7 linked regions of the Sus scrofa genome follow. The protein of the gene in region 4 interacts with the protein of the main gene of each other region in a pairwise test. Links are inferred from orthologs where the notes say so. Each region holds a gene or a part of one and is shown on either strand. Other genes may lie near its edges. The genes, in order: RAB29, POLL, LNX1, LDOC1, LATS1, FAM208B and FOSL1.

What was found.
Region 1: the proteins of LDOC1 (region 4) and RAB29 interact in binary tests that used the Homo sapiens proteins (3 or more experiments, as listed by UniProt). The two-hybrid records come from large-scale screens. The link is inferred for Sus scrofa from reciprocal best matches to the Homo sapiens genes LDOC1 and RAB29.
Region 2: the proteins of LDOC1 (region 4) and POLL interact in a two-hybrid assay, tested with the Homo sapiens proteins (2 studies listed by BioGRID and IntAct). The two-hybrid records come from large-scale screens. The link is inferred for Sus scrofa from reciprocal best matches to the Homo sapiens genes LDOC1 and POLL.
Region 3: the proteins of LDOC1 (region 4) and LNX1 interact in a two-hybrid assay, tested with the Homo sapiens proteins (2 studies listed by BioGRID and IntAct). The link is inferred for Sus scrofa from reciprocal best matches to the Homo sapiens genes LDOC1 and LNX1.
Region 5: the proteins of LDOC1 (region 4) and LATS1 interact in a two-hybrid assay, tested with the Homo sapiens proteins (2 studies listed by BioGRID and IntAct). The two-hybrid records come from large-scale screens. The link is inferred for Sus scrofa from reciprocal best matches to the Homo sapiens genes LDOC1 and LATS1.
Region 6: the proteins of LDOC1 (region 4) and FAM208B interact in binary tests that used the Homo sapiens proteins (3 or more experiments, as listed by UniProt). The two-hybrid records come from large-scale screens. The link is inferred for Sus scrofa from reciprocal best matches to the Homo sapiens genes LDOC1 and TASOR2.
Region 7: the proteins of LDOC1 (region 4) and FOSL1 interact in binary tests that used the Homo sapiens proteins (3 or more experiments, as listed by UniProt). The two-hybrid records come from large-scale screens. The link is inferred for Sus scrofa from reciprocal best matches to the Homo sapiens genes LDOC1 and FOSL1.

What each region holds. Positions count from the first base shown.
Region 1 is NC_010451.4:66,455,967-66,460,149, reverse strand, and holds the start of RAB29 (ras-related protein Rab-7L1), read left to right. Parts: upstream 1-1,383; 5' UTR 1,384-1,482; exon of another isoform or gene 1,483-1,660; intron 1,661-1,778; 5' UTR 1,779-1,900; coding exon 1,901-2,024; intron 2,025-4,183. UniProt on the Homo sapiens protein: The small GTPases Rab are key regulators in vesicle trafficking. Essential for maintaining the integrity of the endosome-trans-Golgi network structure.
Region 2 is NC_010456.5:112,608,058-112,611,203, reverse strand, and holds the end of POLL (DNA polymerase lambda), read left to right. Parts: intron 1-1,248; coding exon 1,249-1,417; intron 1,418-1,817; coding exon 1,818-2,182; 3' UTR 2,183-2,646; downstream 2,647-3,146.
Region 3 is NC_010450.4:40,437,735-40,441,786, reverse strand, and holds the start of LNX1 (E3 ubiquitin-protein ligase LNX), read left to right. Parts: upstream 1-1,252; 5' UTR 1,253-1,624; intron 1,625-4,052.
Region 4 is NC_010461.5:115,579,127-115,583,421, forward strand, and holds LDOC1 (protein LDOC1), read left to right. Parts: upstream 1-1,495; 5' UTR 1,496-1,709; coding exon 1,710-2,150; 3' UTR 2,151-4,003; downstream 4,004-4,295. UniProt on the Homo sapiens protein: May have an important role in the development and/or progression of some cancers.
Region 5 is NC_010443.5:16,273,740-16,277,754, reverse strand, and holds the start of LATS1 (serine/threonine-protein kinase LATS1), read right to left. Parts: upstream 2,801-4,015; 5' UTR 2,566-2,800; intron 1-2,565. UniProt on the Homo sapiens protein: Negative regulator of YAP1 in the Hippo signaling pathway that plays a pivotal role in organ size control and tumor suppression by restricting proliferation and promoting apoptosis.
Region 6 is NC_010452.4:65,205,974-65,209,473, reverse strand, and holds part of FAM208B (protein FAM208B), read left to right. Parts: coding exon 1-2,349; intron 2,350-3,500.
Region 7 is NC_010444.4:6,428,965-6,432,957, forward strand, and holds the start of FOSL1 (fos-related antigen 1), read left to right. Parts: upstream 1-1,193; 5' UTR 1,194-1,442; coding exon 1,443-1,532; intron 1,533-3,512; coding exon 3,513-3,710; intron 3,711-3,993.

The sequences.
Region 1 (4,183 bases), on a different chromosome or scaffold from region 4:
CCTTACAGAACATAGGTGGCAGCCTATAAAGACCTGAGCAGGGCTATTTTCCCATTGCTCTATTGCTTTCTCTTCTACTCCTGGGAAAAACAGAAAATGAAGCTTACTGGAATTCCCACTGAGGTGCAGTGGGTTAATGATCTGGCTTGACTCTGTGAAGGCACCGGTTCAATCCCTGGCCAGGTGCAATAGTTTAAGGACCCAGCATCGCTGCTGCTGTGGCACACCTGGCACAGCTGTGGCAGGGCTCAGATTCGCCCCCTGGCCTAGGAACTTCCACCTGCGGCAGGGGGACGGGGGTGGGGTGGCACGGGCAGCGGAAAAAGAAAATGGAGCTTATTTTGTTTGGCGGTGAAGCTCGTGTGTGCTTAATTCCTACCTAAAGGGCAGGCATGTCCAAAAAGTTATGGGCTGAAAAATTAAAAGTATTTGCAAAATTGTAGTTTAATCATTATTCATGAGCAACAGCGACAAAAAATGGAAGAGGATTCTCAGTGTACTCCAGCTCAAATGGTATGAGGAAGGTAGTATGACTAGGGATTGTGGAAGTGAGAATGATGACCCAGCTATTGTTTTCTATTTTTACTGCTATAGCTAATTATTAAATGTTAATAATAACATTTAACAACATAGGTTTTTCTAGGAGTCTATCTCTTAATTGTGTCCCTGGACTTGATTGATAGATGCATTTGAAAAAAAATGTAAGAACTAGTAACCTTCCTTATGTTCACAAGCTCCTGATGTGTCTATCTAACTGAAAGAGCAGGAAATATACTTCACTTGGATCCTGAGAGAAGAGGGTTGAGCTTTTGTTAGTGGAGTAATGTGTGAAATCTACAGGATAATGTTTAATCTTAGCTCCACAAAACTTTGAAAGATAATGAGAAACCTATCTGGGGACAGATTTACGCAGGCAAGATCATGTCGAACAAATCGCCCCCGAAAGAGCTTTTCTATTCCAAAATTATTTTAAAATAAGATTCCGGAGTTCCCGTCGCGGCTCAGTGGTTAACGAATTCAACTAGGAACCAAGAAGTTGCGGGTTCGATCCCTGGCCTTGCTCAGTGGGTTAACCATCCATCATTGCCGTGAGCAGTGGTGTAGGTCGCAGACGCGGCTAGGATCCCACGTTGCTGTGGCTCTGGTGTAGGCCGGCGGCCACAGCTCCAATTAGACCCCTGGCCTGGCAACCTCCATATGCCCTGGGAGCGGGCCTAGAAAAGGCAAAAAGACAAAAAAAAGAAAAAGAAAAAAAGATTCCAAACGGTCGAAAGTGTTTGAAACTTCATGTAGGTTTTTAAAAACAAAAATAGTGAATAAACTACACATCCCAGAAAGCCACGCGAGCGAAATCTCCACACTCGGCCAGGTCTCTCCACCCCGAGGTAAGTTGGGAAATGTAGTGCTCCAAGCAACCCTGCACGTGACGCATGCGGAGGAAGGCAAGAGACTACGCCACCTGGGGCGGTACAACGTCAAGGGGTAAATGTGTAAGGCGCTCTTTCCTCCAAATGTGGCTTGTGCAGTAGGGAGAGGTCCCCTATCTTCTACCCAACCGTGAAATTCAGTCGCCCGCTGGAACAGCTCCGGGGAAGTCCCGGTGGGTGAGGCAACGTGGTGCCTTGTCCCGTTTCTCGTAGCCGGTCGGGAGGGGGAGAAGGTGAGAATAGCCGGGGGCTCGGAGCTTGCGTCCTGCGCCCCACCCAGGCTGCGGCCGCGCGGGGAGGAAGCGCGTATAGGTTGAGTGCAAAGTTTCCTTTTTTGCTTTTTCGTCACAGCAACCCCAACGAGCAGTGGGCAGAAATGCCAAACTTCAGTTTGAGCGGGGTCCGGAGCCAAAGGAGTTAAAATAAACGACTCCCCCACTTCCCTCCTCCCTAAAACGTCGGTCCCGCTAGCCATGAGCAGCCGCGATCACCTGTTCAAAGTGCTGGTGGTGGGGGATGCCGCAGTGGGCAAGACGTCCCTGGTGCAGCGGTATTCCCAGGACAGCTTCAGCAAACACTACAAGTCCACGGTGGGAGGTGAGACGTCCCTTCGGGGGCGGGGTAGGCGGGAGGCTGGGACCACGGACTCGAGCTGTGGACTTAGTTGGGGTGGATAACGGGGAATTTGGTATCCTTGGGGCTTTCCTTGGGTCAGGAAGTAGATGTCTGGGATCCTAGAGGGAGGCAGGCTGGGTCTGTTTTGCGTGACTCTTGGGTTTCCCCATTAGGTTTTTTCCAGCCTGAGCCGACTGTCTGGAAAGAGATGAAACTAAGGTGTGATGATAAGGACATGGGGAAGGGAGATGAGAAAATGAGCAATTGCTGCTTTTCGCTGAGGGAACTATGAACTCAAGTCTCCTCCTGCTGCCTTCCTAGCGGTCACGAGCAAATCTCTGCCATCAGCAGATGCAGTGGAGACGCTCCAGAGAATCTGGTTAGGTACCAGCCAGGGACTGTTGTCCTGCCTTCACAGGAGTTACAGACAGCTGTTGAAGGCACAGAAAGGTGTTTAACCTGGCCTCAAGGAGCCTAGCTTTGTAATGGAGATGCCTGTAGGGGAGAACCCCTGGGGCACACAGTCAGATGCTTATCAGGGCTGCTGAGCTGTGTGTTTTTTGTCCATTAATTGCCTAAATAAAGGCAATGTAGAAATTCTTAGCTTGAAAGACACCACTTCTCTGACCTGTTTTTCCCACCCCTTTTCCTTTCAAATTAGGGGGCGGGGGGATGAGGAAGGGAACACCAAGAGTTAATTCATTTCATTCCAGGTGTGACCTTTGGACTCAACTGTCTTTTCAGAAGTAGAAATGCCTTTTAAATAGAAGTTTAGAAGGGGTGAGCTGGTGAAGAGGGAGAGTAAAAACATTTATTTATCTTCAGTAAAAAGAACTAATTTTTTTGGCCTCGCCTGCAGCACATGAAGTTCCCAGGTCAGGGATTGAACCAGCGTCACAGAGGCGACCCAAGCCACTGCAGTGAAAATGCTGGATCTTAACCTGCTGCACTACAAGAGAACTCCAAAAAAAAAAAAAGAACTTTTTTTTTTTCTTTAAGGAAAAAACTTGTGGTAATGTAAATTTTGAAAATGTGTGCTGGTGTTCATTATGGAATTTTAAAAAATTAACATGCATTTCGGGAGTTCCTGTCGTGGCTCAGTGGTTAACGGATCCGACTAGGAACCATGAGGTTGCCGGTTGGATCCCTGGCCTTGCTCAGTGAGTTAAGGATATGGCGTTGCCATGAGCTGTGGTGTAGGTCGAAGACGTGGCTTGGATCTGGCATTGCTGTGGCTGTGGTGTAGGCCGGCTGCTACAGCTCCCATTAGACCCCTAGCCTGGGAACTTCCATGTGCCATGGGTGTGGCCGTAGAAAAGACAAAAAAAAAAAAAAAAATTAACATGCATTTAGATTGCTATTAAAAGTGCCTTCCAGGAGTTCCCGTCATGGCTCAGTGGCTAAGAAATCCGACTAGGAACCATGAGGTTGCAGGTTGGATTCCTTGCCTCGATCAGTGGGTTAAGGATCTGGTGGTGTTGTGCGCTGTGGTGTAGGTTGAAGATACAGCTTGGATCCCGAGTTGCTGTGGCCCTAGAAAAATACAAAAAAGACCAAAAAAAATCCTCCTGTAGTTCTCTTGCAGCACAGTGGAATAAGGATCTGGTGTTGTCACTGTAGTGGCTTGGGTTGCTGTTGTGGCATAGGTTCCATTCCTGGCCTAGGAACTTCTACATGCTGTAGGTAGGACCAAAAAAAATTTAAAAAAATAAAAAATCCTCCTTAATAACATTCATCAAAATTAAGTTTTTAAGTTTCAAAGATTTAAAGTAATCTTGGAATAAAATAAAATCTTTGAAAAGAATCTTAAAAAATAAAAAGAGCAGGAGTTCCCGTCGTGGCATAGTGGTTAACGAATCCGACTAGGAACCATGAGGTTGCGGGTTCGGTCCCTGCCCTTGCTCAGTGGGTTAACGATCCGGCGTTGCCGTGAGCTGTGGTGTAGGTTGCAAACGCGGCTGGGATCCCGCGTTGCTGTGGCTCTGGCGTAGGCCGGTGGCTACAGCTCCGATTCAACCCCTAGCCTGGGAACCTCCATATGCCGCGGGAGCGGCCCAAGAAATAGCAACAACAACAACAAAAATAAATAAATAAAATAAAATAAAAAGAGCAGTTTCCTGGTGGCTCAGCAAGCTAAGGAT
Region 2 (3,146 bases), on a different chromosome or scaffold from region 4:
TAGAGGGAGACGAGGGTACACTTAGGGTTAGATGTATCAGAGTTGGCGTTTGGATTAGGGGCTAGTTTGCTCACTTTAGGCTGGGACTCTGATAGGGGGATGTGGGCCGAGCTCAGCTGCAATCAGCCTCCAGCTCTGCTCTGGGCCACATGACTATGAGGCAGTATGGAATGGACAGGCAAGCCCCTTTGTCCACCCATCACCCGGCCTTAGGGCTAGTGACAACCTGCCACTCAGCCACGGTATCTGGGCCTGGAGAATGTCCCAGCAAGGCTCCAGCCCCGACCCTCTGGAACAGAGGTGGCTCCCCATCTGGCCCACTCTCCCCACTTACAGGCTCCAGCCTTAGGAGGTTTTGATGGGCTTACTTATCCTGGCCTCCTCCCATCCTCTTGGGAGGCTCAAGAAGGGAGTTGAAGGGATTAGCAGAGCCTGCCTGTCAGGAGGATCGAGGTACCCGGCAATCTCTGGGTCCCAGGGTGGAGACAGGGAGGCCATCTGCATAGGAAAGGCCTCAGCGGTTCTGGGGTGGGGCTGATGGGCTTATCCCCGTCAGTGTGCAGCGATCCTTCAGTAGACAGTCTCCTCTGGCTCCGTGCCCTCCCCAAGAGCCCCAGTCCTCCACGTAAGGATGTGGACATTGGCTCAGAATTGCCTCCACTTTGCTCTCTCTCCTTCCCTTTCCAACGTGCTCAGTTATATTTCTGGGCTCCGTCTCCCCACCCAGGGCGCCCTGCCAGCCACCTGCTCAGGCCTCAAGCCCCAACTCACACTCTGACTTTGGCTCCAAATCCCAAGAAACTAGGGGCTGCCGAAACCTGGCTGAGGGCTTCATGGCACCTGCCCTTTGTCCCATGTGGAGTCTCACAGACCTGGACATGTGGGTTGGGCAGAAGCCCAGAGAAGGTGTGCCTCTGCTCTCAAGGAGCTCCGACGAGAAGGATGGATACCTACCCTCAGATCCAAGCACCCCTTCTCCTGCCTCCCCTCTGCCAGCCCCAGTGGTGTGAGCATGCTTTCTTCTCTTTCCTAGTGAAGCCAGGGAACGGCCATTCCCCAGGGTAGAGCTCTGCCCTCTGTGTCTTGGGGCTCCTTCCCTCAGCTGGGGTCACGGATCCAGGGACTGGCTGGGGACACAAGGGCGGCATGCGGGCCCCCAGGTCAGGGGAGCCCCCGTGCTGCCGTGGAGAGGAGCTCCCCTCAGGGCTTGAGGCCCACCTCCCTCACCCACTTGCTGCCCTTGCTCAGGTCCGGGAAGCAGCTCAAGCCTTCAACCCCGGGCTGCTGTGCGTGGCCTGTGGTTCGTACCGACGCGGAAGGGCAACCTGTGGTGATGTGGACGTGCTACTCACCCACCCGGACGGCCGGTCTCACCAAGGCATCTTCAGCCGCCTTCTGGACAGCCTCCGGCAGCGAGGTATAAGCCCTACATCTGGGTGAGCAGGTGGGCACGGGCAGGGTGGTGCCCAGGAGGGACAGCCTCCTAATCTCCAGGCCAGAAGCAGGGGACGGATGCTCTCTCGTGGCCGGAGCCACTTCCGAGAAGAGATGCCTCAGTTCCCCACACCTCCCGAGAGGTGCTCAGTTAAACCAGCAGCCGAGTGTCTCGGCCGATGTTTCTGTGCCGCCAGAGGGGAGGTGGGGAGGAATTGCTCTTTTACAGAGAAGGACACAGGCCCAGAGAGGGCAAGGTCATCCAGCAGACCAGTGACGAGCTGGGAATAGAGGACCCCGGGATGATGGGGACAGGCCTGGGAGGTGGGAATGACCCAGGGCCTGGCTCTCGGCCTCCCAGCAGCCCTTCTGTGTTGGGCCAGGGTTCCTGACGGATGACTTGGTGAGCCAGGAGCAGCACGGCCAGCAGCAGAAGTACCTGGGCGTGTGCCAGCTCCCAGGGCCAGGGAGGCGGCACCGACGCCTGGACATTATCGTCGTTCCCTACAGCGAGTTTGCCTGCGCCCTGCTCTACTTCACCGGCTCTGCCCACTTCAACCGCTCCATGCGGGCGCTGGCCAAGACCAAGGGCATGAGCCTCTCGGAGCATGCCCTCAGCACGGCTGTGGTCCGGGACGCCCATGGCCTCAAGGTGGGGCTTGGCCGGGTGCTGCCCACCCCCACCGAGAAGGATGTCTTCAGGCTCTTAGGCCTGCCCTACCGAGAACCAGCTGAGCGGGACTGGTGACCCATGGCTGGGGGAGGGGGTGTCAAGCGGGACCATCCCTCCAGCCTCACCAGGCTGAACCTCACTACTTCAGCCACCACCTCCTCTGGCCTGATGGAAAGGGCCAGCCAGCTTCCAGGGTCTGCCCAGCCCTCTCCCCGCCAGGAGCAGGCTGCTGCCCCGTCTGCCTCACCATTGCCCCTGCCCCATTTGAAGCAGGAGCTGGTGCCTGGTTTGAAGCGAGCTTCCTGTGCTAAAGGCCCAGGTGTCCCTAGAAGTGGGATGGGGGCTGTGGGGAGAGGCACGCAGCTGTAGCCCAGCATCACCTAAGACCCTTCAGAACAGGAGAATGAGCCACTCCACGTGCCCTCCCTCTGGCCACCCCACTTCCTGTGCAGCTGGCAGTGTGGAGAAGAGGCACCCCAGGTTCAATGAGGACCGCATTTGAAGGCTAAGGGGCCCAGTAAAGTGCACTTGACATTCAACCTGCCTGGTGGATCTGTGAGCTGCTGAGGCCTCGGCCCACCCTCTTCCACCTGGGCAGGGACAGAGATAGGAGCTGAATGGGAGCCCAGAGAGGCAAGTTAACTGCTCTCCAAACAGGCCAGGCCTGAGCCAGTTCCTGAACAACTCAGAAGGGGACAGGAGTGGACATTAAAAGGGAGAATGCGTGGAGTCAGGCCCCGGGAGTTCCTCTCTACCCATCAGCATCTCCTGTGGGCCCTGCCCTAGATCACGTGATATGGGATGTGAACAAAGGTGACAGAGTTCATTAGGAGCAACTAAATGGTGACCTGTGTGCCATTGACAGGGCTGAGGCAGTCAGGGAGGGCTGTCTGGAGGAGGTGAGGGGCAGTTTTGGGGACAACTAAGAAACCTACTTTAGTGAGGATGCTGGGAGTCTAGAGAAGGCTGGGCTGGTAGAGGACTGAAAGATGAGCTGAGGGCCTTAGTTTGATAGAGATGCTAGGAGAGTCCAGCTAGT
Region 3 (4,052 bases), on a different chromosome or scaffold from region 4:
CAGTGGTTAATGAATCCGACTAGGAACCTCAAGGTTGCGGGTTCTATCCCTGGCCTCACTCAGTGGGTTAAGGATCCGGCGTTGCCATGAGCTGTGGTGTAGGTTGCAGACACGGCTCAGATCCTATGTTGCTGTGGCTGTGGTGTAGGCCAGAGGCTATAGCTCCGATTAGACCCCTAGCCTGGGAACCTCCATATGCCATAGGAGCAGTCCTAGAAATGGCAAAAAGACAAAAAAAAAAAGAATCACGGTGGACAGCCAGGTGACAGCAGCCAGCAGTGCCCCCGTGGATTAGCAAGAGGCAGGGGTCCCTGGGCTAGGTGTGTTCTGTGTGCAAGTTACCGAAAGGTAGCACCGATTCATAACTCCAGGGCAAGACCGCTTAGCTAGCTGATGATCTGTGGTTCTGTTTAGAATTCCATTCCCAGATCGAAGAGTTTCTTTGGCCACCACCGGAGCTGTCAGACCACAGAAGTACCTAAGCCAACAGGCGGGAAAAACAGGGCTTAGAAGAACACCCTTCCAGAAAGGCAATTTCTACATTTTTAACCAGCTGGGTGACTTGGCAGGAGTGACTTAATCTTGCTAATCCTCAGTTTCTTCATCCACAAAATGGGGATGAGAACTATACGCTTATGTCAAGGATTAAATGAAATAATGCAGGGGAGGTCGTTAGCCCAGGACCCAGCTGACAGTAAAGTCTCCATAAGTGAAGTAAGCAAGCAAAGACAGTGCCGCTGCTGATGACCGTGACCTGGAAGAGTAGGTAGAAGAAATCCTTATTGAAACGATAATCCTGTATCTTTAGAGGGTATCTTTAAATGTCTTATCTATATCGTTAAAAGTCTTAGCTAGTGTCAGCCATGAACTCGCTCCCTCTTTTTCTTTGTCTAAAAACATTTGCCAGTGTTCCGTTACGAGAGATGCTGCCTATGGAAAATCTTTGAAAGATTTGGCAAGGCATCGGAGCGAGTCAGGACTGCTTGATTTGTCTGAGATAGATTTCATGCTTCTGAGCTAGAGGCACGCTTCTTCGCAGACTTAAAAATGAAAAGATGCCCAGGATTCTGAGACCCGTCCAGGCAGTGGCCAGCTCCCGCCTGTTCAGGAAGTGGTCCTAGCATGATGATGTCCCAGCCTGGTGCTGACCTGGAGGGGCAGTGACCCTGTGTTTATTTCCTTGTTGATTTCCCTTCCCTGGTTCCAAGCTCATTTTCCCATTGCCTGCAGGAAAACAACATCCAGGGGTGCGGTAGGTCTGATTTGGCAGCTCTAAAGGTGAACAAAAGGATCCTGGCTTTGGCGAGAGCAGGAGGAAGTTGGAGGGGGCCTCGGCCCCATGCAAACCAGAGCAGACTTGTTACCGATGCTCCTGGGTGGCTGTTCTGCGGGGGCCTCTCTCCCCTGGTTGATGGATCAGCTCTGTGCAAAGCCTGCAGACGGGGCCTGGGATGAGCTGATGAACTGCAAAGCGGGGTGGTTCTCATGCGTGTCTGGAAGACAGGCCACAGGAAAGAGGAAGAGTATTTTTCTGGGCTACTGCTGAGTCAGAAAAACTTAGCTCCCAAATGGACTGTACCAAGAGGTCTTACCTGGCTGGAAACTGATTCACAGCACAGCAAAGGTAAGAGGCCTTCTTCCTCCAGAGGGTGGCATCAGACAATTGGAGAAAACTTTGCCCCAGACTATCCCAGCCCAGCCTCCACCCTCACCCCCACTGCACTGCACGCAAACACATGCATACACACACACAGACACACACACACCCAAGATGTTGAGAACCTAGAGATATCTAGGTCTGTCTTTTCCAAAACACTCTAGAAAGGCCTCAGGATATTTGCTCTCTTTAGGCTTGATTTATTTTTTTTCTGCATTCTTCACGACACCTCTTCTTTTATTTTCAAAAATAAAAACTACATATATACATATGTAAATTTTTTTTTTTTACTGGCCAAGCAAGTCAGTAAATCATAAGTAATCCCACTAATAATGATTGGGTTTCTGTGACATTATTCGTCATCAATACTCAAAATACATTCACGCATTTTATCCCATTTCGGCAGTAGAAATAGGCATCATCACTGCACTTTCACCTACAGAGCAACTGAGGCCCAGAGCAGTGGACTTGCCCAGCAGCAGGTAGGAGGTGAGACAGTCCATCTCATTGCCGCTCCGCCTCTTTTCAGCAGACTAGTGACTCTCCTCTCTAAACCAAATACCAGGCTCCATTCTCTGCCACATTCCCAGCACACGATCTGATGAGAGGATGGAACCGGAGCAAGGAACTCCCCTGGACAATCCAGAAACAGAGAGTCACGGGGTCTAGTCCAATACGCCACCGCATTGTATATCCCTGTCTGCTTCTCTCCATAGGCATTGACTCCAGTTCAACAGATGTTGATCAGCGCTGGCCCATGTGCCCAACTCTGGGTCACGTGTCAGGGCGCAGGGCAGACTGGATGCCCAGGTGGTGCTGAAGGAGTGGGAGCTGGGAGAGGAGTTTGTTTATGAGAAGGCTTTCCATGGGAGGGGAGCCTTACACCAGGCTTAGCGTGACGTGCAGACTTATATTGAGGGAGAGCAATGCAGATCAGCGCACCCCTCCCCCTGTCCCCTGGCCGCCCCAGGTAGGGAGGGAGTGAGCATTTACAGCAAGACTGGCAGCGGAGGAGCAGAGGGGGTACTGAGCAGACTGGGAAGGTAGACCATCTGGATATGACTCTTGGTTCTACCGCCTAGTAGCTGTGTCCTGGGGTGACTCAGATAACCCCTGTGACCTCAGTCTTCTGACACGTAAAGTGGGAACAGTGGTGATGCCTATTTCATGGGGTTGTCTTAAGATGTCAATGCGATGATGCATGTGAAATCTTTGCTGGCACCCAAGTGCTCAGTTCATACTAACTATTTAACTGCCATGTACCTGGCTCCATGGGAGAGGAGCCCTACCCTCAACTGGACCACAATATTATGGGTTAGTTGTGTGTAACCCACTATAGGCAGTGTGCTAAGTGCTGTGAGGTCACAGAGGAGGGATCGGTTAAGGATACTTGGTTGAGTGTCCTGGGCGGTCTGTTGAAGGGAGAGGGTCGGAGGAGAGGTTTCATGGCAGAAGCCCTGTTGTAGTAAGGTGGCTTGCATCAAAGCTATACTGATTTGATTTTTTTAAAATATATTTCTGAGTATTTATATAAATGTTTAATTTCCTATAATATACTGACTTGATTTTGAATAGCAACTTCAGCCCCACCAGATGCGTGGTATGACTGTGTTAGTCTGCCAGGCTGCATAACAAAGGACCACAGCCTGGGTGGCTTCACCAACAGAAATGTACTTTCTAAAGTTCTGGAGGCTCTAAGTCCAACATCAGGGTTAGGCCACTCTGCCGGGCTTGCAGAGGGCCCCCTTCTTACTGTGTCTCACGTGGTCATCCCTCTTTGCACCTGCACCCTGGTGTCTCTCTGCATGTCCAAATTTCTTCTGGGAAGGGCATCAATCAGGTTGGATTAGGGTTCACCCTAGGGACCCCTTTTTGATTTACTCACCACTTTCAATGCCTCATCTCCAAATCCAGCCACTTTTTGAGATACAGTGGGGCTTTAGAATATAAACTTGAAGGGACATCATCCAGCCCATAACAATGAGTTTGTTTCTAAGCCTTTCCAAGCCTTTTCACTCAACTAGAAGATGGGGACAGTACTTGACATGGACAGTACTTAACATGGAGACCCACTGTGATCATCACAAAAAAAAGACATGGAGTTCCTTCCCATTGTGGCTCAGTGGTAATGAATCTGACTAGGAACCATGAGGCTGTGGGTTTGATCCCTGGCCTTGCTCGGTGGGTTAAGGTCCTGGCTTTGCCATGAGCTGTGATGTAGGTCGCAGATGTGGCTCGGATCCCGCATTGCTTTGGCTGTGGTGTAGGCTGGCAGCTGTAGCTCCAATTCAACCCCTAGCCTGGGAACCTCCATATGCCACAGGTGCAGCCCTAAAAAAAGCAAAAAAAGAAGAAAAAAAAAAGAACACATGAAACACCTCTCCCAGCCAGTTTT
Region 4 (4,295 bases):
TTTTTATCCTAACATCTGCACCCTGAGATTCCTTTATCCACCAAACCCTTATGAAGCTTCTACTCTGGGCCAGGCACTTTTCTTGCATTAGTGATAGAGCAACCAACAAAGCAAAGCCTCTGTCCACACAGACATTTTAAAGGGGAAGCTGACCTATAAACAAAGTGCTATGTGATATGATGGCTGTTAGTAGGATAAATGCTATGTAGAGAAATGAAGCAAGGCAAACGTTAGAGGTTACTGGCAGAGAGTGGGGTGCTCTGATAGATGAGGTAGTTAGGAAAGTCCGCTTTGAAAATGGAGGAAGAGTCAGGCAGTAAAACCAGGAGAACATTCTGAGGCAAAAAAGAAAGTACAAAGATCCTGAGGCCAGAGCCACTCAGTGTGTGTGAGCCTCAGCAAGAAGGACAGTGTGATGACAGCAGAGCAGGAACTGGGACAAGGCAAAGGGAGTGAGGCAGGGCTTGATAGGCCATTACCGAGACTTTGGTTTTTATTTTGAGCGAAGGGGGAAAAACTATTGGAGGGTTTTGAGCAGGAAAGTAAAGAGATCTAATGTTTGTCCTAAAGGATTCCTATATCTACTCTGGAGTATGTATATAATACACACACACACACACACAACTTGAGGAAGAGAAGAGTGGAAGCTAAGTGATGAGCTGCAACAGTCTGTGTGAGAAAGGAGGGCTGGCCTTAGGGTGGTAGTGCTGTTTAGAGATCCCCAGGTAATTAAACTGCTGATATATTTAAAAAGCAAAGCTAAAAAAATATATTGGCCCCAAGGTCCTCACCCTGACTTATTTGTCAACTATTTGAATAATCACATTCAAAGTAGAAAACAAAACTATTTTAAAAACACATGTGTTCATTGTTAAGCAAAGAACAATAACCAGTAGTAGGACATGAAATAGAGTCAAAGATAGGCAGGACTCATGCAAATGGTGATTGGATACTAACTTTTGCAGAACTTTTTACACTTTGCTATTTAAAAGTAATTTTAAACAAAAGGATAGAGGTACACAATATTATTTTACAACTAAAGAAAAACCTCTTTTTAAGTATTACTTTGTCATGAAAGACAGGACTCCTGAACGTCTTTCATAACTCTTAAAGGATGTGACTCCTGCGGTGCAGCCAGAATTGCTAATAGTTCTCTGAGTGAGGGAGATTTAAACACGCAAAGAAATGTGTTAAAACCACATAAATGGAATCTGGTGGCCACAGACCCACCGAGGAACATTGAGTCGTTTGGGTTGAAGGGTGGTTAATCCTTTAAACTTGAGCAGGTTAACCCTCTCTGGGAGATGGATCTTAGCGTTTGCTCGGCCTTGGCTAAGGCCTGGCCCGCATCTAGGGCTGGATCTCCCCCCACTGCCTTTATCCACGGGCCGGGAGAACTGCGAGCCAGCAGCCCGAGACCCTGCCCGCCTCCTTGCCTGGCCACGCCCTCCCTCTGTCCGCTCCACTCTGGCCACGCCCCTCCTTTCTCCAGTGCCCGCCTCCCTCCAAGCGGGCGGCGCCGGCGTGCCGGCCGTCAGAGCCGCTGTGTGGGTGGAGCTTGCGCAGCTGCCGGGACCCCTGCGCGCACCGCCTCTCGCCCCTGGCCGCCGCGCGCCTCCGCGGACACGCACTTCCTGCAAGGCCTCCTTGCTCACCTTAGCCGATCCGAACCGAGCTGAGCCCATTCTTGCTCTTACAAGCTGTTCGCCATGGTGGACGAGCTGGTACTGCTGCTGCACGCGCTCCTGATGCGGCACCGCGCCTTGAGCATCGAGAACAGCCAGCTCATGGAACAGCTGCGGCTGCTGGTGTGCGAGAGGGCCACCCTACTGCGCCAGGTACGTCCGCCGAGCTGCCCGGTGCCCTTCCCCGAAACGTTTAACGGTGAGAGCTCCCGCCTCCCTGAGTTTATCGTGCAGACGGCGTCTTACATGCTCGTCAACGAGAACCGGTTCTGCAACGACGCCATGAAGGTGGCATTCCTAATCAGCCTGCTCACCGGGGAAGCCGAAGAGTGGGTGGTGCCCTACATTGAGATGGATAGCCCCATCCTAGGTGATTACCGGGCCTTCCTCGATGAGATGAAGCAGTGTTTTGGCTGGGATGACGACGAAGAAGACGACGAAGAAGATGAAGAAGCTGATTACTAGGCCGGGAGACCCTCGGGCCTAGGGGGGTGGGCCCTGCACGCCGCCACCACCCCCCGCCCCGCTTCGCTCCTCCCGGAGCCGCGACACTTCCCTCGCTCCCTATCTGCTTCCCTAGTCTTCCTAGTCTTCGCTCTGGTTCTCTTCCTTATTCACCGCTCCCCCCCCCCCCCCCCCCCCCCCGTAGTGTTTGTCTTTGTTCTGGGAATAGTGCTACAGTTACCTGCTGCTGGGGCTGGGGCCTCTCTGAAGTGCGCTGCCTCCCACTCAGGCCAGTCCCAGGGCCCAACCCTGCTAATTTGAACTGTGTTCTGAGCCCCAACTATAGGGCAGACTGTTACAAACTGGTCAGACTACCCACAGCCCTGCCGATTGTCAGGCCTACATCTGCCCAAAGACCGACGCTGCCACCTAACCAACCTCCATCACATTCCAGCGACAGACAGACCAGGCCTTTGGAGACAAGGACCAACCTAGAAGATGCTTTTAGTTGGCTATACCACCTGGGACATTGATTTGGACTGCTCACGCCCACCCCACCCCCCCACGAGGGGCGAATCTTTGCACCTGGTTCGTTCCCTCCTTTCCTAACTCATAGAGTCTTCTCCTGCCTCACCAGGTTGCTGCAGGGGCCCGTTGTGCCTGGCAGCCAAATTATTGACATTTCTCTTATGCACCAGTTTTGCACAACTGTCATTTTTCTTTTAAAACTGAAGCAGTCCCACAGCTGTGTGCATTTGGACAAAAATACTAAAAACAAAAACCAGACAGACAAAAGCAGGTACTCAGCCCAGCTCCTCAATACTACATAGAAAAAGCATTTGCATTCTTTTCAATAAATATCAAGCACTACGGAAAAAAAAGAGCGTCTTTTAATGGTTAAGTGCTATCATTGGCCTTTGCCACTCTCACCCTGACTCCCATTATTCCTACTGATATCAGAGAGCCTAGTTCAATCCCATTATTCTCTACTGTCATGTCTGGGCAATAGAGGACTGCTACTACAGAGCTTTATAGGGAAACTGGTGCTCCCCTCACCAAGGCACTTTTTAAAGCCCTGGTGAAGTGAGTGTCCTCTGGGGCTTCCAGGATGGGATGAATAAGGGGTAGTTGAGTAGATGGCACACCATCCCAAACTGGGACACTCGAGAGAAAAAGGGGGCACTATTACTAATCGGAATGGGACAATAGGCGTACATCAGGGCACATACCATATTCCTGTCTTCCTGAGCTTTTGGGTTCTTTCTCAGCCCTGCCAGGCAAGTGCTGCCTCTTAACTCTTATTCCTTGCAGGGTGCTGTTTGAGTTCAGGCTTCCATAAACAAGGTAGCACATTGTTTCAATACCGATTTTAGATGCTTGAGCTAATGTTAAATCCTGAGTCCTGGGTAAATGCACCCATAAGTGGAGCCAGATTTTAATGTTTCATCCTCCTTGGGCAGATAACCCTTAAGATCCCCACCCATCTGTGTGCCCCAGATTCCTGCCTGTAGAAATCGACAAGATGCCTGGCTATCTCCCATACTAGATCTTGTAATGCTGTCTGAGCTGTGCTGAGATCTTTTTGTGGGCCTGGAGGGCTGGAGGCCCTAAGGGAGTGGGGTGAGTGCTGAGAATAATCTCTACTTTTGTGAGCCCATAACCCCAGGTTAAGTCTTTGAAATGTTAAATCAGGGAAGCCTGATTAGGGGATTTGTGGGGCCTATCGCTGCCAGCCAGGAACTGTCAGGAGGATTTGAGGGGTTCAGAATTCTGATTCTTACATGTATCTGCCCAGATGTCTTCTGTACCATGCCGGGAACCAGCCCTACTTTAGAACCTCTAATTTAGATAATAAAATTCCTTCTTGTTTAAGACCTTTTGATGCTGAGTGTTTTATTTGTACCAATAAACCTTACATTGTGGGTTCAATGAGATACAGGGAACAGGTCTCTTGCTGTTGAGCTGGGCTTCAGTAGGAAGGTGTTAGGAGTGAACAGGAGCAGAATAAGCTCAGCAGAGAGAATGGAAATGAGAGCATGACAAGAGTTCATTTTTACTCTTTGGGATCTGACATGAAGTCAGATAGAAAACCAGTTTACTTGGTGAACAGACAAAGTCTAGAGCAAGAGTCATCTTTTGGACCTAAGAAAGTTGTTTCTGTAGGGT
Region 5 (4,015 bases), on a different chromosome or scaffold from region 4:
TGTAGAAATTATACCCAGCATTTATGGTGCCATTCAAATGCTTCCTTCATGAAGCTTTCATTGAAGTGCCAGCTGCTATCCTCCTCTGAACTTCAAATGCACTTTACACAGGCAAATAAAACTTGTTTTTGCCCTATTCTTGTACTTGTCTTATTTTTCCCACTAAGCACAGACTGACAAAGCAGAGGTATCTTGGATATTGGATGTGTGTGTGTGTGTGTGTGTGTGTATTTTATTTTAAATTATAATTTGAATTGATCCAGAGTAAATGGATCCAGAGAGGTAAAGTGGCCCCATTAAAATCATACAGCCAGCTGGAGGTCATGCTAGGAATGGACTCCACATATCCTGAAACAGCCCAAGGCTCTTTTTTCCATGTCATTTTTTTTGGTCTTTTTGCCATTTCTTGGGCTGCTTCTGCAGCATATGGAGGTTCCCAAGCTAGGGGTCCAATCGGAGCTGTAGCCACTGACCTACACCAGAGCCACAGCAACTCATGATCAGAGCCGCGTCTGCAATCTACACCACAGCTCATGGCAACACGGATCCTTAACCCACTGAACAAGGCCAGGGATCAAACCCGAAACCTCATGGTTCCTAGTCGGATTCATTAACCACTGAGCCACAACAGGAACTCCCCAAGGCTCTTTTTTATCATACCTACATCTTAGTTTTCCTAAGGGATCATGACTCACATTCTTTGAAGGGATAACTTGGTTAGACTGAACAGACAAAACCTCCATTTCTTAGAAAGTTCGGACCTTCATCAGATGTACAAATGTCAATAAGTACAAACAAATACTGCTGATATCTTACCCAACTTAGGAAAAGAACAGAGCCCATTACATAAGAAGATTTCAAATTGATACCTTAGGTTGAACTAGGCTTGTAAAAAAGATGGTATCTTAAAGCTTTGACTAAATCAGTTATGAGAAAAGCAACAGTACTGTCTTAGCAGTATAGTCTTAGCTGTCCATATGGTAATATGTAAGAATCTCTGCATTCTGATGACATTTTCTCCAATTCACTTTCTAAGAGTTAACCTATCAAAAGTGAGAACAATCATTATATTTTATCATCATTTGAAAAATGACTGCCATTTCTACTTGATAAAAATGTTGTTCAATGACTAAATAACTTTCATAGTCTACAAAAATCCACCACTAATCTAAATATCACATCTAGAGCAAAAACTAAATAACCAGAGCTGGAACTGTTCTAAGGCTACACTATGTAGAGTAACAAGGAGGAGCATTAAAAACAAAAACAAAAACTCAACCTAAAGAAAGAAATCCACATGTGCCATATCATGCCAAATATATCTAGCAGAAATATTTTTATTTGCTTTTGAAGGCTGTCACCATATTTATTAAATACTCAGGCACAGGAAAAAATGCGCCTTTTCTAGCCTGTATCATGATCTAGTTTCTTGCAGTAACAGCCGATCAGAGGAACACAATGCTACTTCTTTCACTGTTAAATCAAATTCCTCCACTGCCTTAGGGAATCAACTAGCTCATTTTACCCGTGTGTCAACTAATTAAAGGAAAAAAATAAACGTAGTTAAATCACGAACATAGATACCTTAGCAGAGCACATTCATTACAATTATAATATCCGACTTTTTCTTCTATATGGTGGAAATCTGACAAAAAATTCTTAGTCCTCAATAACAATCCATAAGACCTGACACCCTTCATGGTTCAAGTCCATTTCCAAAATTGGAGTGATACAATACTGTGTGCGAGATTATAGTTCTCACTAGATTTATGAATTAACTTCTAGATAACGATGTAATATTTTGAGTCGTATTAACATATGGGTCAACAGACATTAATTTTTGTTCCCTTAGAAAAGAACTTTAAACTGAAGAAGAAAATAGCTTCCAACTGGAAAGAATGGGGTTAAATCACTTCACCTGAGAGTCATTCTTTGTGGCACAAAGTCTTTTTGAAGTTACAATAAACAATGTCCCCTGAACTTCCTTTCCTTCATTTTCTGAATTTACAGACATACTCCCTCCATCTCTCCTATCCCTTCCAACTATGAACAGCAACCTATTTACAGTGGACTGTAAATAGAAATTCTCAGAATTTCTTCAAGGTATATCCAGGAGCAGGTCCTTCTGGAATGAAAGAACTGTGGCTCCTTCACTGCACATTTCCTTCACAATCACCTTTCGCTATCCGTTCCTTCCTGAACACCGCTGACCGGTGAGGGTTGGAGACAAGGGTGGAGGGAGGTGTGAGCGAAAACAGTCCGCGCAAGGCCTCCAGTGAGACAGGATCTTCCCGGGCTAACCTGAACCTCCAAGGCCGCAAAGCCTGGGGCTCTTCCTCCAGCCCCGGGCGCGGCCAACCCTCGCTTCCCCAGGGCAGGGCTCCGCTCAGGTCCATGCAACCAGCCAAATCGGGCCCGTACCGGGCCGGCCCGGCCCGCCCGTCCGCAGCGGCCCCTGGACTCCCGCCAGCGGGGATGGGCGTGGGCCCCGACGGCCACCGCCCCGCCAACGCGGGCTCCGGAGGAGAGAGTGAGCCCCACCCGCTACGCCAGCCCCGGACCTACCTGCAGAGAGCGGGGCTCCTGGACAGCGGCCACGGGCCCGAGGGCGGGCGTCGAGGCGGCCGGAGCCCGTCCCAGGGACCCCAAGTGTCCCCGGTGGGGCAGGGCGGGCAGAGACGCCGGGGGGCTGCCGCGGGCCAGCGCGGCCCGTCGCGGAGGTCGCGGGGACCTGGCTCTCCCCTCAGCACCAGGCCGCCGCCGCCGCCGCCATTTTGCCTTCCACTCGGTGTCGCCGCCGCCGCACTCCGCTGCAGGTTTCCCGGATGTGGGCATTTCCCGGCGTCGCTTGCGCGGGGGCCGAGGACTGGGGGCTTCTGCCCGCCCGGCCGTGGGGAGCGGGCGCGCCGCCGCCGGCCTCCCGCCCTCCGCGGCCGCCCGTCCCCCTGCGTGTGCCCGCGCGTCGCCCCGCGTCGCCCCCGCTTTGCGCTGCGCAGGTGACTCGCCACGGCTGATGGCGTTCGGCTCTCCGCCTCCCAAGCCCACTCATTTAGTTCAGTGTCTTTCTCAATTGAGCGCTTTCTGTGGAAGGACGAATGTAGAATAAAAGGTGCGCCTCTGCAAGAGTTTAATTTCCAAAAGGTAACAGCCGTGAGTTGCTCTCTGAAACCTCGCGGTGGACCTCGGGATTCGGAATTTCTAGAGGCTTTGAAATAAACTGATGTTTGCTTAGCACTCTTTCCCCGAGTACATCCGTGAGTTTGTTTTCTGAATCAGTCAGATTAATATATTCGCGAACACGAACAGACTAGGGGTTCAGAGATTTCTGTCAACTGAATAATCTGTCAACTGAATCGGTATAAAAGGAAGTCATTATTACCATAACTGGAATAATTTTGACTGCAGCGAAAGAGGCTTTATCTTGTTAGATGGAATTGGAAGTTTGGGATGGGATCGTTGGGTTTATGATGTTTGAAGATCCCCTCCACTCTCTGCCCATGGCCTTTGCCAATTTTGCCTCTAGAAAATATATGCAGTTAGTACTTTCAAATATCTCCTTTCATCACATTTATGCTGGAGACTAGCTATTATTCGTTTAAACCAAAGCCTCTTTTTTTTCTGATGTTGAGTTAGTGGCTGGCTACTATTTCCAGAAGTTCAAATATGAAAACTTATGATGAAAGAAAAGATTACATTCCAAGAGCATTTGGTTGAAAGTCTCTTCCACAGGTAGAGTTTGTAAAAGGTATGATCTAAAGGGAGTCATTTAAGGGAGTTCCTTTTGTGGCTCAGCGGTAAGGAACCTGACTAGGATCCAAGAGGATGAGGGTTCAATCTGTGGCCTCGCTTAAGGATTGGGAGTTGCCATGAGCTGTGGTGTAGGTCGCAGACTTGTTGGATCCCTAGTTGCTGTGGCTGTGCTGTAGACCAATTGCTGCAGCTTGGATTCCACCCCTAGCCTGGGAACTTCCATATGCTGTGGGTGTAGCCCTAAAAAAGACAAAGGAAACCAAAA
Region 6 (3,500 bases), on a different chromosome or scaffold from region 4:
GCTAATGAGGACAGGAGCAGTGACACTTCACAGACAGCGACCTTCGTCCTTTCTAAAGAAACGTGTGCCCTTGAGGTGGCAGAGGAGATGCATGTGGCCTTAGACTTCCCCTTCGGTTCTTTGATTGAGGAAGTGTCACCAGCTTCCAGTCCTGACCCACAGGCACCAGGCACAGACGCACAGACGGCTAGGGCTGTGTCCTCCTGCGGCGCGGAGCTCTCTGAGGCGCGGCGTGAGAGCGGTGACCCGCCGTCCCAGATGGAGTCGGTCGATATGGCCGTAACAGAAAAAGACAATTCTTTGGCGGGTCCAGCCCCTCCAGTGGGACAAGATAACTTACCTCGGGCACCGCCAGTGCCGTTTCCTGCTGAAACGCCTCTGGTATTTAGGCGTCCCCCCGAGAGGAGAGGGACGTGCTCAGCCCTTCCCGGTGCAGTCCCTGAGCAAGCTGTCCCGGGGGAGCGTGACCAGGGTCCCCCCCTCTCCGCAAGGGCACCGAGCTGGGACGCAGAGCCGAAGCAGCCTGCCTCGGCTGCCAGGTACAGAGATGCCCCGGGAAACCAGGCGACCTCAGGGAGTCCCCTGCAGCCAGCGGCGGTGGAGGACAGAAGCCCCCACGTGAGTCACCTCATCTGGGACTCCAGGGACCCTCCCCTCAGTCCCAGGCACATTCTGGAAACTCAGCCTTTGGCTGCGGCCTTTGTCTCCGCGGCTGCGCCCGCTGACGCCAGTCTGTCCCTGGGGGAGCAGGCCGGCCCCGAGAGGCCCCCGGAGCATCTCCTTGGCGGGGACCTGAAGACAGACGGCCGCTGCTACATCCTCGTCAGGTCCCTTCGCTCGGGCTCGGTGGACAGCGCCGCCGGCCCCGGGGGCCTGGTCCACGCGGAGCGGCCGGCAGCCGGCCTCTGCTCGGGCCCCGGAGCCGCGGGGCCAGGGCCGCAGACGCAGGAGATCTCGGCCGTGAGGATGGCCAGGCTGCTGCAGAATAACGGCCCCGAGGCCGGGACCCTCGGCGACTCCGTGGACCTGGGAGGCGCTGGTCCGCAGTGGAGACCCCCGTCTCCTCCCGCCTTCCACCGGCTGCGGGCCGGGTCCGCGGGCCCAAGCCGGGACCTGGTGGGCCATGGGCCCTTGCCCCCCTGCTCACGGGCCGATGCGCCCCCCGACACGGCGGCCGCCGGCCTGGGCGGCGGGCAAGCGCCTTCTGCCTCCTTTGTCCCCGGATCTCGGGCCCCTCTTGGTGGTGGCGTCTCTGGCGCTGAGAGCGCTGGTGAGGGGCCGAGGGCCCCGAGGGACCCTGCGCCCCCGGGTCTCCGTGCGAATCCTGACATCCATTATGAGCCACTTTCCGGAGACTCGGATCAAGACTCTCTTGGCGAGTGTGCGAAACCCAGGGAAGACGCCCGGGATTCCTGCGCTCCGCGGTGTAGGCGTGCCGAGGACAAAGGCGCCTCCGACGAGAGTGACGACCCTTTCCTGGGCCTGAGCCACAGCGACGACGACGAGGACTGGGGCCGCTCGCGCCGGCTGCCCGGGCTGGAGCCCGCCAGGCGCGTGCCCGCTTTCGTCCGCGTCCGCGACCTCCGCGGCGTGGCCCGCGCCTACGCCAACTTCCCGGTGACACGGGCGCGGAGCCGGGCCCCCGGCGGCGTGGCCCAGGGCGCCTCGCTCCGCCTGCGGACGGACACGGGGCCGGGGGCGGCCGACCTCACCCGCAGCACTTTGGATCTGGAATATCTGCGTTTTGCGCATAAACTAAAGCAGATGGTGAAGCGCGGAGACGCCCGGCGGTCGGGCCCCTCGGCCCCCGCCTTTCCCAAGGCGGCCCCGGCGCCCGCGCCCGCCTCCCGGAGCCGAAGTCCCCTGGTGGTGACCGTCGTGCACTCGGACCCCAGACCCCCGGGTCGTCGGGCAAGAGGCCACACGCCCCACCGCATGGCCCAGGCCTCTTCGTCCTGGAAGGAGCGGGGCGCCCACGGCAGGAGCCCGCTTCCCAACTCGGGCGGAAGCCAGGCGGCCGCGCTCCACCTCCACAAGCTCAAGTACAACAGCCCCTGGAAGGACTCGCGCGGCGACATCTCGCTCATCCTCAGCGAGTTCGCCGAGTTCAACAAGGTGCTGCTCGGCAGCGGCAGCCAGGCCGCCCCCCGAGACCCAGAGCCCAGCGAGGCCGCGGCCCCGGCGCCGGGCCCGCCCTGCCCGCGGCCCGCCTCCTACGAGGACCTGGTGGCCGACCTGTGCGCCAGTCTGCGCGTCAAGCTCGAGCGGGTGGTGAAGGAGGCCTGCGCCAGAACCTTCCTCTTCCACCTGGTGGAGACAGCCGACGAGTCGTTCTTCCTAAGGACGAAGGTAAAGGGCCGGGCTGCTCCTGCTGCTGCTGTCCGTTTGGCGTCTGAGTCTTTTCGTAAGGAACCGAGCAGCCTCAGCTTCAGAAAGAAGCCAGCACCAGGGGGTGCTTGAGCTCCACAGCTCCGTGCGCGCCGGGCTGGAGGAGAGGCTGGAGGGTCTGCCGTGTGCACTGTTGGAAGATTTATGTGATTTCTCAAAACTGATGCGGTGCCTTGTTTTCACAAAACAGCACTTGGGGAGATGTATTCAGGGTGGACACAAATAGAATCCAGAGGCAGGTTCAGGTTTTAATCACTAATCCTGGAGCTCCCACCATGGCTCAGCGGAAGCAAGCCTGACACGTGTCCGTGAGGGTGTGGGTGTGAACCCTGGCCTCGCGTACTGACCTGAGGATCTCGTGTGGCTGTGGCTGTGGTGTAGGCCGGCAGCTGTAGCTCCGATTCGACCCCTAGCCTGGGAGCCTCCATAGGCCGCGGGTGCAGCTCTAAAAAGCCCAAAAAAAATTCCTCCCTGTGCTCACCCATTAGTGTAGTTGAGGGGACCTGAGCGTCCTTCCCAAGTGGACGTGTGAGGACCCCTTTCTGTGCTTGTCTCGGGTCTCGGGATAAGAGGGACACGAGAAAAGGGACATTAGAGATGAGCGCCCAGCTCTGGCAGGTGCCGAGGCAGGTACAGGGCAGCACCGAGAGGGACGCCGGCCTCGCGTCTGCAGTGGTGATGGCCAGACGAGGAAGCGTTTGTGCAAGCCCCGGCTCAAGTCCAGGGTGGCTGTCGGGTGACAAACGTGGCCCACGATCAAACTGTCAACGCCGAGCTGCTGAGTAACATCAGACACCTGAAGCTGCTCATGGCATCTGCGCCATCGCGGGCGTGACAGTCCCCACCACGGTGCATTCGGAGGGCCTGGAGCCAGGACCGCACTGCGGCCCCTGGTGGCTCCTGCTCCAGAGTCACTGGGACACGTCACTCCGTGAGTGCTTCCAGTCAGTCTCAGTGCCACCGGAGAAAAGCATGAGGGCCTGAGGAGGCTTCCAGAAGGGTGGGCAAGGCTCGGGGGCACAGGGCACAAGCAAGGGCCCCGCAGACGCACTCGGAGGCTGGCCGTCCTGGGGTCACGGGGCGCTGGGAGGTGTCTCAGATGAAGGGCGCTT
Region 7 (3,993 bases), on a different chromosome or scaffold from region 4:
AAGAGACAGAGAAGCAGCTTTGGGGCGGTCCTCTCAGCACCAACATATGTGAAAAGCTGTCTGTGAGGGCTTTGAAATCGCTTGCCCAAACCTGGGCTGGGAGCTCCCACAGCCCTGATTTGGCAACCTGCTTCGGCCACTTGCTTAGTGATCTTGGGCCCTTCATTTCCACATCTCTCAGCCTCACTTCCCCCATCTGTAAAATGGGGACGATAATGGCACCTACCTCGCAGCGCTGCTGGTCTTCGGCTGTTGATATTTGTCCCTGGCCTCACATTCATACAGACTTTTGATGTAATCTCCAAACAAGGCTAGTGACCACACAGTCCTGGAAGAGTAGTTACAGTATTTAAAGAAAATGATGTTTATCAGACCACAGGACAAGTGCCCCACTGCAGGCTTTCACTGCTTACAGAGGTTCTGAATGAAAACTTGTCCTGACTCCTGAAATTACCCTGCGAGTAGGGCAATTACATTGCATAGTATTTGGGGATAGTTCAAAGCATTATCATGTCATTGTAAACATTTAAAATATACACCATTTTTGGAGTTCTCTGGTGGCTCAACAGGTTGATGATCTGGCACTGTCACTGCTGTGGCTTGGGGCGCTGCTGTGGTGAGGATGCCATCCCTGGCCTGGCAACTTCTGCATACCAACGGGCACAGCCAAATAAGTGTGTGTGTGTGTGTGTGTGTGTGTATCTACCACTTTTGTAATCCTGGTTTGTCATTCACTTTTTAGTAAACCTGAACCTTAAGACAACGCCAGTGAAAGGGCTTCACACCACAGACTTGGATGGCGGTAGCACGGTTCCTGGCATGAAATAAGCACCCAGTAAATAATGATAATGATGATAATAATAATGCTATCACATTTGTAACCCATTTTACAGTTTCCAGACCCCTTTCATTCCAACCTCCCACGCGCGGCCAGGGCGCTGTGTGATTATTTCGTCCCATTTTACGGATGCAAACACTGAGGGCTCTGGGATCTGGTGGCGGGATCTAGGTCTGCGCAGGTGGAGGGCGAGGCGAGGCGGGGCGGGGCTGGGCGGGGCGCAGGTGCCTCCGTCGGCGGGGGAATCCTTCGCTCCACCTGGGCGCGGCGAGGAAATTGCACCATGTATGGGCAGCTACGTCAGAGGAGGCGGACCTGCCGCTGTCGCAGGGGGACGTCAAGTCCGCCCTTTTTCCCCACCAAAAAGCGGCTAGCCGGCTGTAGGAGGCGACGAAAAGTTCAGGGCGGACTGGCAAAAGGCGGTGCGATTGCAGAGGTGGAGCCCCGAGGTGACCAGCGCCGCTGAGGAACGCCCCCCCCCGCCCCAGTGGAAGTGGTTCAGCCCGAGGACTTTTCATTCATAAAAAGAAAAGACTCCGCGAGGAGCGAGTGAGTCAGAACCAGAGCCGCCGACACGGACCCCACAGAGCAGCCAGCCCAGGGCATGTTCCGAGACTTCGGGGAACCGGGACCGAGCTCCGGGGCCGGAGGTGCGTACGGCGGCCCGGCGCAGCCCCCGGTGACAGGCCAGCAGGTGAGAGGAACCCTACGCCCAGTGTCCCCAGGTGGACAGCGCCTGAGACGGTGCGGGCCGCTCCAGCACAATCCGGACCGGGGCCGGGAACCGCAGGAGGGAGTGGGGCTCGGAGGGGTGGCAGCGGATCCTGCCCATTCTCGGTTGTCCAAGGGCTCTTTTCCCCCCACAGCCCAGTGGGACGCGCGCGGCGGGGGGGGGAACGAAGATCTGCGAACGTCCCCTCTGTGGCTCGCGCTCTTTCCCCCTCTCTCTGCGGTCTCTCCGTCCCTCCGTCTCTGTTACCGTCTTTCCTTCCTCCTGTCCACCGCCGATTTCTTTGTCCCATCTGCGTCCGAAGGGGACCCCTTGTCCGGGATGAGTTCTAGTCCCGGCAGAATCAAAGAGAACTAAATTCCAAGAGCCGGAGTCTGAGCTGCGGCCGAGATGTCCCCTCGCACAGAGAGGATCTACCGGCGGGCTGGACCCGGCAGACTGGGAATCCTGGGCGGTCTGTCTGTGATCATCCCGGCGCCCGCCCGTTTGTCTGTCCCTCCCCATCCCGTCGCCAGATCCTTATCATCATCTCGGCGCAGTGGAGCCTGGTGGGCTCCGGGAGACCGGCTCTTGACCCTTTTACGGGATGCGTCCGGCAGAGACCGTGAGGTGCAGGGAGACGTGCGCGGGGTCAGGCTGCGGGCAAGTCCCGCGCCCCCGGCTCTCGGCACCAAACGGCGCCCGCTGCCGGCAGGGGGGAACCTGGGAGGCTGCAGGTGCCCATTTCCTGTCGAGGGGCCGTGAGCACGTGTCGCTAGGGGAGGGAAGGAGCGGCGTCCGTTCCGCCGAGTCACGGCAGCCGAGTCACGGTGGCTGACTCACGCGGGGCGCCCCTCCCTTCCTGGCCCGGAGGGGCCCGGGCCTGGACAACCTCGGGAGCTGGAGATGCCGCCGGCGGTACCTTGGCCCGAAACTGGGGTCACTGGGCCATTGGGCCCGCAGCACTAAGCCGGGGACACTGCTGTCCTGACTTGTCTGGGCTTGTGGGGCGCTTCCCGGACGACTGGGCGCCCACACCCAGGGCTTGAATCTAGTTCTTTTTCCAAACAGTAAGCCCCCATCTCAACCCATTCCTCACGTTTCTGGCTGGAAGGGAATTGTGGCAGGTGATACCTGGAGCACATACTGTGCAGCTCTGCCTGGTGCCGGGCAGTTTCCGCCTCATTTATCTTAACTCCTAGAATCTAAGACCCCACTGATACTAAAACCCATCATTATTTTGTAGCACAAAAATTGTTTTCAAGTTGCCAATTGAACTATGAGAGCTGCTATTCAGGGCCACTAAAGGGTACTTCTTAGCATCATTGAAATGCTGTAATCCCTCCCTGTGACAATATTAAAAACGAGGAGACTGAGGCACACTGAGATTAAATAATTTGCCCAGAGAGCCAGTAAATGGCTGAGTTAAGATCAAAGCCGGGATAGCCTGAACCCAGAGCAGTGGTCCTTGTCCACACTTACCAGGCTCTCTCACACACATCCTCTCACCTGATTCTCACAATCACCCTTGAAGCCAGAAGCTGTCACTCTCCTCTTCATGCTGATGAGACTCAGGCTGCGTGCAAGAGTGGGCAAGGGCCTGGCTTCCTGGGCACAAACCTGCTTCCCACTTACTGGCTGTGCGTCTATGGAGAACTGTTTTCCTGTCTGAAAATGAAGATACTGTTGTGTAAATTATATGAGTCAGGATTAGCAAAGTCGTTGGGCCAGTGCCTGGAATTCACACTTTCTTAGCTCCGATGGGAGAAATGGAGGCCCCAGAGGTTGTGTGACCTGCCTAAAGTCACACAGTTCATAAGCAGGGATGCCTGCCAAGCTGCGCCCTCTCTGGTCTCTCAGAACCAGCAGCTGCCTTGAGGGTGGGCAGCAGTGTGACTTCTGTCCCCTGGAAGCCCCTCCGTCCCTACAGACCTCATCCCTAGTCCTCTGTGTCTTATCCCTCAGAAGTTCCACCTCGTGCCAAGCATCAACGCTGTGAGTGGCAGCCAGGAGCTGCAGTGGATGGTACAGCCTCACTTCCTGGGACCCAGCAGCTACCCCAGGCCTCTGGCGTACCCCCAGTACAGTCCCCCACAACCCCGGCCGGGAGTCATCCGGGCTCTGGGGCCAACTCCGGCAGTGCGTCGCCGGCACTGTGAACAGGTAAGGAGCAGAGGCATTTGCACAGGTTCCTGTGCCCGCAGGGCTGCTGAGGTGAAAAAGATAAGCTCTTGCTGAAAAGCAGAACACAGGCTTAGAAGGAGGGTGGGGAGAATAGGTCCACTGGTGACTACTGGCCAAGGCAGAAAGTGATAAGAGCCCCTGGGGAGACCCAGAAGGCAAAGTGGTCACTGGTGGATCAGGGAAAACTTCCTGGAGGTGGAGGCATATTAGCTGAGAAATATAGGTGGGATTTGCATAGAGAGATTTGCATGTCCCTTCCAGG